Arabidopsis thaliana: one gene and its partner. The protein of the gene in region 2 interacts with the protein of the main gene of each other region in a pairwise test. Each region holds a gene or a part of one and is shown on either strand. Other genes may lie near its edges.

What was found. Proteins that work in one complex are often made in the same cells at the same time.
Region 1: the proteins of RVE8 (region 2) and AT3G54500 interact in a protein complementation assay, tested with the Arabidopsis thaliana proteins (one study listed by BioGRID).

The regions. Positions count from the first base shown.
Region 1 is NC_003074.8:20,175,264-20,180,648, reverse strand, and holds AT3G54500 (agglutinin-like protein), read left to right. Parts: upstream 1-1,621; 5' UTR 1,622-1,911; coding exon 1,912-1,935; exon of another isoform or gene 1,936-2,157; coding exon 2,158-2,714; exon of another isoform or gene 2,715-2,944; coding exon of another isoform or gene 2,945-2,958; coding exon 2,959-3,241; intron 3,242-3,422; coding exon 3,423-4,121; intron 4,122-4,191; coding exon 4,192-4,343; intron 4,344-4,529; coding exon 4,530-4,857; downstream 4,858-5,385. Other genes in the region: AT3G54510 (Early-responsive to dehydration stress protein (ERD4)), read right to left, coding at 18-310; RPB5E (RNA polymerase II fifth largest subunit, E), read right to left, coding at 5,352-5,385. UniProt on the Arabidopsis thaliana protein: Transcriptional coactivator necessary for expression of the clock genes PRR5 and TOC1. Antagonizes REV8 function in the regulation of anthocyanin accumulation. Involved in red light input to the clock. Activates clock-controlled genes with afternoon peak.
Region 2 is NC_003074.8:2,944,245-2,949,572, forward strand, and holds RVE8 (Homeodomain-like superfamily protein), read left to right. Parts: upstream 1-1,994; 5' UTR 1,995-2,214; coding exon 2,215-2,393; exon of another isoform or gene 2,394-2,669; coding exon of another isoform or gene 2,670-2,680; coding exon 2,681-2,738; intron 2,739-2,819; coding exon 2,820-2,943; intron 2,944-3,012; coding exon 3,013-3,159; intron 3,160-3,277; coding exon 3,278-3,403; intron 3,404-3,482; coding exon 3,483-3,592; intron 3,593-3,679; coding exon 3,680-3,739; coding exon of another isoform or gene 3,740-3,772; exon of another isoform or gene 3,773-3,911; coding exon of another isoform or gene 3,912-3,933; coding exon 3,934-4,026; 3' UTR 4,027-4,052; exon of another isoform or gene 4,053-4,325; 3' UTR 4,326-4,773; downstream 4,774-5,328. Other genes in the region: AT3G09590 (CAP (Cysteine-rich secretory proteins, Antigen 5, and Pathogenesis-related 1 protein) superfamily protein), read left to right, coding at 709-1,269; AT3G09620 (P-loop containing nucleoside triphosphate hydrolases superfamily protein), read right to left, coding at 4,908-5,328. UniProt on the Arabidopsis thaliana protein: Transcriptional activator of evening element (EE)-containing clock-controlled genes. Forms a negative feedback loop with APRR5. Regulates the pattern of histone H3 acetylation of the TOC1 promoter.

The DNA.
Region 1 (5,385 bases), about 17 Mb from region 2:
GACCAAATCTTCCTTACCCGAATTTGAAGAGCCTGATGAGGACGAGAGCATCAAGGCCGTGGCGGCTGAGGATCTCGTCCTCGGGGACACGGAAGGCGCGTGGGATCCACGCAACGGAAGGAAGGAAACGAGGGAGGCAAAGGGATGAGTGTAGAGACAGAGGACGGTGGTGGTGGCGATCGGAGAGGCGGCGAGCATAGTATACGACGGCGTTACGGGGCTGCTTCTTGAGGACGGAGAAGAGCCAGAGTGCAACGACGGCGAGTCCTATGTTGATCGACGCCGACGCTAACAAGCTTTCTGGCGTCATATTTTTTCTTTTCTCTGACTATGGGAAACAGAGTCACATGATGTCATGTCATGTGGCCCTTCTTGTGCTGCATGTAAACAGAAAGCCTCCACGCCGCAATTGTCTCCTTGTTTTTTTATTACACCTCGACCAAAATAGCAGTGTGATAATTGAATTTTTGCATCTCCCTGAAAAGGAAATTTCTAGTACTACTAAATTTGTTTTACAACAAAATGTTATTTTTGTAAATTAGAATCACTAAAGTGTTGTACTTAAAAATTGTTGAATTGGTGGGAAAAAATGCTTGGAATCATTACTTTCAGTGAATTTGTGGACTTTGATGAACGAAAGGAATTTGTTTAGTGGCTAAATTGGTAGATTTAAAAGACAAGATCATCACTCTTTTTTATGTTAATATTTTTATTTTATTTTGTATACAACATAATTTTTTTCTTGTACCAGTTTCTTAGAAACATATTCTCTAGCGTCTTTCATGATTGTAGATCACTAAAATCTTGCGCATGTAACAAGTACAAATTTATCAAGTCAGCAATAACGGGTTTGTAGCACATTTCTATTTTTGATATATACACTAATTTGCTTTTGTCTCAGACTCACTCTATCTATGATCTATCACAAGCTAGCAACAATGTTTACTGCTTAATATGTGTCTAACGTAACTCGTGATCATTTCTGAAACAAGAGTAACCCCTACCAACAATTCGTTTTAATCTCGAAATACAAAGTACAAACACAAGATAAACAAACGCATAAACAATCGAGGCACAAAGCCTATTAACAAGGTCTGAAAATTTTCAACCTAGTCATCAAGGACGAAAACGATTTCATTATAATTGAAAAATAAACACACTTATTAAAAAATATATATCAATTGCAACCATTTATATCCACTGTTTCGTTATGAACTGTTCAGGATAACGCATTAGTTCCTTTTCAATAAACTGATCCAAGCAAATACTTTTGAAAAAGTGGATATCAATGAAAGCTAAATTAGTTAAAACATATAAGATAAAAATTGTGGTCGCTATGAACTCAAACCCCACCAAATCTAAAAGTTGAACACTGGTTCCACTCTTTTAAAAACATATTTACCCAATTGTGTGTCTCTTCTTTTCTCGAACACTAATCCGATATAACATGAAAATATTAAAAAAACGTCAACAAAAGACCACAGCCAGGGAAAGTCAAAATGAGCTGTCATGGAATCAAGTCGTGTTTACTCTCAGCCACATGTTTAGATACGGCCTTCTCGTCTGACGTGGCAACCCGTTCTCTCTCAGCCACTCGTTTGGCACGTGACCATTTCATACAAAAAAAAACTCTTTTTTCTTTTTTCCACTGTAACTCCTTTCTCTTCCCATATCCTTTGAGCACGAAGGAGGATTCTGCTGAATCAAGGTTTTTCAAAGCTTGTTGCTTTTTCAGTTTAATATTCTTTTATTTATCGTTTTTTCCACTTTATTATTGTGTGTGGATTTACGTTATCCGATTTGTTGATCTTGTTGTTTTTTCCTGGATTTTTTTCGTTGTGGAGCTGGCGATGTGTGGAGCAATCAGGGAGCTTGATTTTGGGTCTGTGATTCGATTTTGTTTCTCCAGTCATGTTTGATTGGGAAGAAGAAGAGGTAAGTTTCTTCTGTTGCTATATATACGAATTTTTATGTGGAATCAGTATAATTCTGTTTTCTTATGGATTTGGTTAACGATCAGGTTTTGAATCACTCATCCTGTAATTTATCAGTCTCTAGTATCATTGGTTCTTAAATATTTTAGTTTTGGTGGCTTGTTGTTAATACTTGCTTTGTGCCTGATCCCTACTTGTTTTATGGTCTTAACCTACTTTTCAGCTTACTAATATGATATGGGGTGATGATGCTGAGACAGGCGACCATATTGTGCCTTTTAAAGTCAGAAGTGAACAACTTAACAAAAAGGAACAGATTGAGGAATCTAAGACAGCTGAGCAAAAGATAACTGGGACTAAAATTGACCTCCATGATAAAAATTTGGGGAGCAGTTCGAGCCATAATGTTGATGAGGGGCTTCCTCAGCCAGATTTCTGTATGAGCTCATGGCCTGACACGTCGCTAACTAATGCTACAAAGGTTGATCAAGATTTGAGTGCGACTGAACTTTCAAAATGCTTAGCTGAGCCAGTCAGATATGATTCAACAAGAGGTGGTGCGTTTCTCTTGAAACAGTCATGTTTTACTTGGGTACGTTCTTTCCAATCTAATCATTTTAAAAGTTGTGTGCTCACTCTGTTTTTACCAGAGAAAACGTCTGAACTTGGGAAAGGCCCTGATATTTTTCATAGCTCTGATGAGAGTAAAGAGCAAGGTGATTTTGATGACTACAGCTGGGCCAACATTGGTAGTTTTGATGATCTTGATCGAATGTTCAGGTAAAACGACTTCTCATCCTCACTGTGCTAGGCGGTAACTTTTCAATGACATACTCCTTTTCTACCATGTATAAAATGTGTTATTTACTGACTTGATTTCGTCTTAGAACTATAAGATACCAGATGTGAATATGGTGGAAAGGTGTAATAATGAAAAAAATACTAGCTCCTTATTTCTTGTGTCCAATTTGTTTCATGCACATTGGCCTCTAACACAATATCCTCACAAGTGATGGTTTTGCAGCAATGATGTCCCTATATTTGGTGATGGCAGTCTCAGCGGTGGTGATGAGTTATGGTCATCTTCTAAAGATGTATCCAATAGCCCAAAATCATTATCATCAATGTTGGACTCTCAAGATCTAGGATTGGATATTAGAACTGAGTTTGAGCAACAAGAGAACCAGCAATTTCCATTGACTGGAAAAGCCAATGGTCTGTCATCCCAAAGTGTCCCAAGTGTACGTGTAACTCTTAAGGCTGACCAATATCGTGAGCATAAGGGTCAACCCTCAGTTGAGGACCAGGTACTATGCGTAGCAGACTGCTGGTTATTGCTCACACGTTTATGATAAATTGAATGAAAGTATGTACCTAGTTTCTGCCAATGTGGATCTGTAGCATGAACTATGTCGTCAAATTCTTATGCATTCTCATTTGTACAGCTCCACTGAGCCTTTTTCGTTTCATTTTCCTTTTTCTGACCAGCCATATCAACAAAATAAAATGATGAAGTTTTCGAAAATGCCTGGGACTTCTGAGGCAAGGCCCTTTCAAGAGCTGTACGGTCAGAGGATTCCATTTAGTAATTCAGCTGGAAAATGTGTAAATCAGTTGGCACCGCCACAATCGTCTCTGATGGCTGTTAATCTCCTGAGTGAGTCTGAGGGGTCTGGGACATCACACTATTCACATATGCCAAACCAATACATGGCTAATTCTGCTTTTGGTAATCTTGCAAATCCATATTCTAGTGTGCCTGTAATTTCGGCCGTCCAACATCCTGATGTTAGGAATCAGTTGATGCATCCTTCCTACAATCCTGCTACTGCTACCTCAGTAAACATGGCAACAGATGCCTCTGCACGGCCTTCAACAATGACACCACAGGAAAAACTAGAAAAACTTAGACGCAGACAGCAAATGCAGGCAATGCTTGCCATTCAGAGACAACAGCAGCAATTTTCTCATCAGGTGCCTGTAGCAGATCAATCCATTACTCAAAACTGTCTCCAAGATATTCCACTCCAGCTTGTCGACAAAACTAATCTCCAAGGGCTAACTGCAATGCCTTCCTTTGATCCTAGTTCATCTTTGGAACAAGATGATTCTGGCAAATTTGCTGCTGCTGTTGATAATTCAGCAGAATTCGCAGTTCTTTATCGGCTTCAGGATGTTGTAGCAAAGGTACTCAAATGGTTGATTGACTTGTTATGTTTGTGTTGGGAGTAAACTAATACTCTTTATTGACCTGCAGTTGGATATGGGAACACGGACTTGTATACGGGATAGCTTATTCCGGTTGGCTGGTAGTGCAGCTCAGAGACATTACACTAGTGATACATCCCACAGTAACAAGACTAGCCAGGATGACCAGGAAGTCATTCCCAGAGAAGAATCCAGATATAGGTAAGCAAATTTATGCGTATTATTCAATATGGTTAACTTCGTACTTAGACAATGTAAACTAGTAAAACTACAAGCATACTTTTTCGTAAATGGGGGTTAACCTTTTTAATAAATGCTACCGAGTTCATCATCACTATCAATCAAATTGTGGTTTACATAACTAGCTTTTGTATTTGATATTTACAGATATGCTGGGATGCCAGATACAGAAGCAGTGACCAACCCCACAGACAGAACTGTGGCTCATTTGCTCTTTCATAGGCCTTTTGATATGTTGGCGGCAAAGCGAATGGAAGGACCAGAATCACCCGCTTCTTCGAAGATGGGAACTGAAGAAAAAGGGAATTTTCCTAAATGCAGCATACGAGAGACTCACTTAACTAAGCAGAAAGCTCAAAAGGAAGAAGGACCTGCAGATTCACTTGCTTTGGGGAATGCACCCAACTCTGGATCTAGTAGTACTGTTGGTGAGAGGGTTGTTGAAGCATCCCAAGGAAACAAAAGAAAATTGTGAAATTTAGAAGGTTGTTATTTCCATACTATAACTCTATAAATCGTTTCCATGCCCTTTTGTATACGTGCATAGAGCTTGTATACAGATTGTAACTAATACGCAGGTGTTGCTTTTGCTTTCAATCAGTTTAGGTTGCCGTGTTAGAGAGGAGCTTTGGGTATTTCTGCAGACTAGACAGCATCTTTCTGCGTCTCTTGAAACAATCTCCTGACTGCTCCTTTCTTGTGAAGCTCTTATTCTTGTAATTAGATTTTTTTTTTTTTGTTACTTTTCGAAAACCTCTTTTGTTATACGTATCTCCATGACAACTACATTTTGGAAAACGTGTAGTTTGCAATGTTTTTCCCCCATTCGAAACCAGATTCAATCTCTTAATACAATTGTAAGCACACACCAAGGACACATAAAGTACTGTTTTGAGGAGAAGAAATAGGTAACAGGAGTGTCTTAGTTAATCATAGAGTAGCTGCAACGAATTTGCCTTTCTTCAGAGTTCAGATGATGCATCGGTATGTCACAAAATCCCCA
Region 2 (5,328 bases):
CCGTTGTCCTAGAGACGGATACAGCCCAAGAGACGACCTTAGTCCTGCGGAAGATGAAGACCAATGAAGAGTAGGAAGACTGGTGATTGCTTATAGGCCGTCTATTTTGGCTTATAATGATTTTAAATAAGTGTAATGGATTTTGTTGCTTAATACTTCGTCTGCTATCTTGTTTTAAATATTTAAGAAAATAAAACGACTTTCGGGATTGTCTTTTTCTTTCTGTTCCATGTCTTCTTAACTGCTATGAGTAAAAGAGCTCTCCCAGACTCTTCTTCTATCTCCAAAAGCTTTTATTTTTGTTTGTTTATTTTGGTACTGATAATATCTGAGTATATATATAATATAGTAGAAACAATGAGCAAAAGTCAATATGTCCGAGTGGTTAAGGAGATTGACTCGAAATCAATTGGGCTTTGCCCGCGCAGGTTCGAATCCTGCTGTTGACGGAATTGTTTTTCTTTTTAGCTTTTGTTGGGTTGTGAAAAGTATAACAACCTTAATAATTTCGTTTTTTTAATCTAAAAATATACGGTAGTTTTCTCATCATCACCAATAAGAATTGTTTGATATGAAACAACAGAATCAGGAAAATTTGTTAAAATGTCAGAAAATGGAAAAATCTCTAACTGAACAAAAGTAACAAAAAAAACTCCCTTAGAAACAGAGGAATCATGATGAGAGACAAAATTATACAGAGACGTGGAGATGTCTGTAACGTTGTCTCATCCATCATCATGTCTTCTTCTTCTCTTCCTTCTCTTTTCCGGTCATCCCTCCGTCCTCGGAACCTCCATCCCCGACGCGGTGAACACGGCGGCGCGTTTGGTAAACAGAGCGAGAAGAGCAAAACTGTCGAGAGAATTTCTACAAGCGCACAACGATGCACGTGTTTCTTCAGGCGTGCCAACGCTCGGATGGGACAGAGACCTGGCCCGATTCGCTGATAAATGGGCTAAACAACGTAAGTCCGATTGCAGTATGATACATTCAGGTGGGCCTTACGGTGAGAACATTTTCTGGCACCGGCGTAAGAAGACGTGGTCGCCGGAGAAAGTGGTGACGAGATGGTTTGAGGAAAGGTTTAACTACGACGTGAAAACAAACACGTGCGCACCGGGAAAGATGTGCGGCCATTACACGCAGATGGTGTGGAGAGAGACCACAGCCGTTGGATGCGCACGTGTGAAATGCCATAACGGTCGTGGCTATCTTGTGGTGTGTGAATATGATCCACGCGGGAATTACGAAGGTGAAAGACCATTTTGATCAAAACAGTTAAAATGAAAAAATTGTTAGAGATTCAAAATATTTTTTCTTCTTCTAATGTAATGAAGATGGTATATTATTCTTGGTCCTTACATATATACAGCCATGTATTGAAGAGGTATAAATTCAAATGGTTCGGAATCTTTTAATTTTATATATTAAAGATCAATAATAAAAAAAAACGTCGACAGCAGGGTTCGAACCTGCGCGGGCGAAGCCCAATAGATTTCAAGTCTATCTCCTTAACCACTCGGACATATCGACTTGTTGTATTTGTTTCGTAAGATTTGAATACAAAACCGAATTCTCTGTTGCCTAAATCGGAGCTTTTCATCCCTTGACTCTCTAAGACATCTGAAGCAGCTAAAGTGTTGGATGTTTCACATAACGACATGGGCGGCAAGCACCCAGTGGACACAACAAGGTACCTTTGTTCTTGGCCGCCCTCTAATTCGGGTGAAATTGGAAGAGAGGTGCTTGGTATATACTAGGATGCGTATTTGGTGCTTAGAGATTTGATGAAACTGAAGCAGTTAGATATTAGAGACAACGACCTAATATTTGCAGGTGAAGAGTTCAGCTCTTTTGTCCGCCAGGTTTTTCCAAAGCTTGTATGGCTTGATGGCCACAAACTCGCAAGTTAAAGATAAATGTTAGGCCACTTGTTTTAATTAAAGTATAAAACTCTTTCGTTTTTTTGGATTCATTTTCATGAAATCAAAAGACTACAAGTCTACACGTGCTTCAAGCTTGAGGCTCTAAATGAAGTGGTAGGAAAGAATGAAATAATAATAAAAAAAGTCAGAAAAATGGATGGTCTGAGATCAAAGTGAAACCTACTCCACATACACATCCCAACTTCTTCCCCGCCATGTGGACTTTTCTTTTTCCTACTTTCTCTCTCTGCATTCTCTCTTACACCTGTCTTTATCTGAAAAATAACCGATGAGCTCGTCGCCGTCAAGAAATCCAACGAACGCCGAAGCACCTCCGCCACCACCAACATCGACGGATGCTGTGGCAGAGGGTTCGTCTAAGAAAGTGAGGAAACCATATACCATCACCAAGTCAAGAGAGAGCTGGACAGAGGAAGAGCACGATAAGTTTCTTGAAGCACTTCAACTGTAATAATTTATCTCTGTTTCTCTGTTTTTAGAGACTTCAAATTTCTTAGTTTGCTGCTGATTTCTGAGTTTAGTTAGTTATAGACTGAACAAACAGAGGAAAGTTTATGTTACTTAGCTTAGGTCTAGTAGTAACTTAGCTATAAAAAATCTGCTTAGCTAAAAAGATCTGCTTCTTGGAGCACTTCAACTGTAATAAATTTATAGTTGTGTTGACTTTTTGAAAGTGTTATTGATGTAACTAGGACCTGATTCTGCTGATACTACTACTCCTCTATGTTCCTTAGGTTTGATCGTGACTGGAAGAAGATTGAAGATTTTGTTGGTTCAAAGACTGTGATTCAGGTTTTAAAATAGCTTACTCTGCATTTTTGGTCGCAGTTACTTTGTGGCAATGTTTTCAACTTATTTGACTTTGTACTGCAGATAAGGAGTCATGCTCAAAAATACTTTCTCAAGGTTCAGAAAAACGGGACATTAGCTCATGTGCCACCTCCTCGACCTAAGCGCAAAGCAGCTCATCCGTATCCTCAAAAGGCATCAAAGAACGGTTCGAATATTTTATAATACTTCTTAGTTTGGTTATAGAGTTGAGTTTTTAACTCACATTTTCTTGCAGCTCAAATGCCACTTCAAGTTTCCACGTCTTTTACTACTACGCGAAATGGCGACATGCCGGGATATGCTTCATGGGATGATGCCTCAATGCTGCTAAACAGAGTTATTTCACCACAACATGAACTTGCTACTCTTCGTGGAGCAGAAGGCATGCACATTTGTCTATCCTTTTTGTTTTCTTCATTTTATTGGTAGTTGTAGTAAGAATAGGTTCCATCAAAGGACGTTTCATGTGCTTATTATGGCATATAACGCCACTGATTCAGCTGATATTGGATCAAAGGGCTTATTAAATGTTAGTAGCCCTTCTACATCTGGCATGGGAAGCTCAAGCCGAACAGTATCAGGTTCTGAGATTGTAAGAAAGGCTAAACAGCCTCCAGTGCTTCACGGTAACCATCTGTGAACAATTCCATGTTTTTTCACTAACTTTTATGCATGATGGAGACTGTACTGATACTATCTTTGTAGGTGTTCCTGATTTTGCTGAAGTTTATAATTTCATTGGGAGTGTCTTTGATCCTGAAACGAGAGGCCATGTGGAAAAGCTCAAGGAAATGGATCCTATAAATTTCGAAACTGTGAGTCAAGAGTTTACAAGCTTTCAGATTAATTGGTGTTCAAGCTCTTAGCATTTCTTCACTAATCACATAGTATGGTGTTTACAGGTTCTGTTATTGATGAGAAACCTCACAGTTAACTTATCAAACCCTGATTTAGAATCCACTGTAAGTGTTAAATTTGCGATAAAAGATTTGTGATGACCAACTTTCTCAGAGTCTGAAACTATTTCACTCTCAACCAATGAGTTGGAGGCACTTCTTTTATGATCTTTGGTTCCTTACATTGAAATGAGTTTTTTTGCGCTTGCGTGATCAAATTTAATCTAACCTCAGCTAGTCGGATTGTAATGATGCTGCAGAGGAAAGTCCTCTTATCATATGACAACGTGACGACCGAGCTCCCAAGCGTTGTTTCCCTTGTCAAGAACTCAACAAGCGACAAATCAGCATAACAAAAATATGAGCCATCAGCTAGCAAGTAAGTGTTTTTCCCTCTTTTTCCTCTGACCTTTTAAATTCAGTACAAGAAAACATTTCACTACTATTAGAAGTCACATGAGTTCATGGTTAGATATAAGTCTAGTGACAGTTCTCTAACTCTAAGGTTTGCAATAAGAGTTCTATAGTTAGTCACAGTCTGGGATACAAGATATATACACTACGGTATTTTGAGTATTAGCACCAGTTCAGGCTTCTTGCAAACTTTGTAAAGTCTTGCATAAGAGTTATATGGTTCTCACCGTATTGGCAGGTTTACTCATTGGTTTCCCATGTTTAATAAACTTTGGTGTTATACGTCACTGGAATCACAATCGTGTCACTGCATCATCATGTGGGAATTGTGTAAAAGGTCTTTGTTGTTTTGAGGAGAAACATAAGCCAAGTTTTGAAGCTATAGGGGGCTTCCGCAGATTTTGACCAGGACTAGTTGGGTGAATGGTAGGTATAATATATGTAAGGGGTTTTTCTACTAGTTGCAAGACAGCCTCATTCTCATCCACCCGTTACTCTTGTACTAAAATCTCGTCATAACTTTTTGTTCAGTTGTTGTGTATTTGTGTAAAAGATAAGTCCTAGGACTGAGTGTAATGGTTCAAGATCAGTGTTAAGTAAATGACGGCAACTCTATTGTTTTAAAGTTGACAGCTTTCTTTATATATTATGGGGTTTGATTCAGAATTTTGTTTTTAATAAGGAAACCAAGTCAAGTCTATAAAAAGATTTTGCAATTGTGGAGAGATTGTATGTATTCAAGTATTCAACAACATCAATCAATACTTACTAGTTTTCTGAATAATTTTTAAAAAATCCTAGAATCAAAAACCTCATGATTTTATAAAACAGAGTATCTGCCTGATTGTGCTCCTCCAGGAAGGGAGAAGGTTTGGTTAGTTATGTCTTCAAGAACACGCTTGAGTTCAGCTTTCGCTGTCTTAACAGATATTTCGGTAGGCCCTTCGACGAACAAATAGAGCTTGCGTTCCTCAGGTCCCGGGATACGTCCTGCCTCATAAAACTTACCTCTAGTGGTAATGGAAGCTCCACTCCACTCTGATATTGGTCCCAGCGTTTCTTTGTGGGTAACTTTCCACCGAGCATTCTGTGGGAAATCATTGATTTCCAATTCTGCTTCATAGTGTTCAGGTATCGCATCAGCTTGAATCTTTGCAAGGTACTGTTGCACGTTAGCAGCAGCAATCATGGCTGCAACGCGGCCTGCTCCATCAGTAGGAGGGATACCTGGCTCAGTGGCT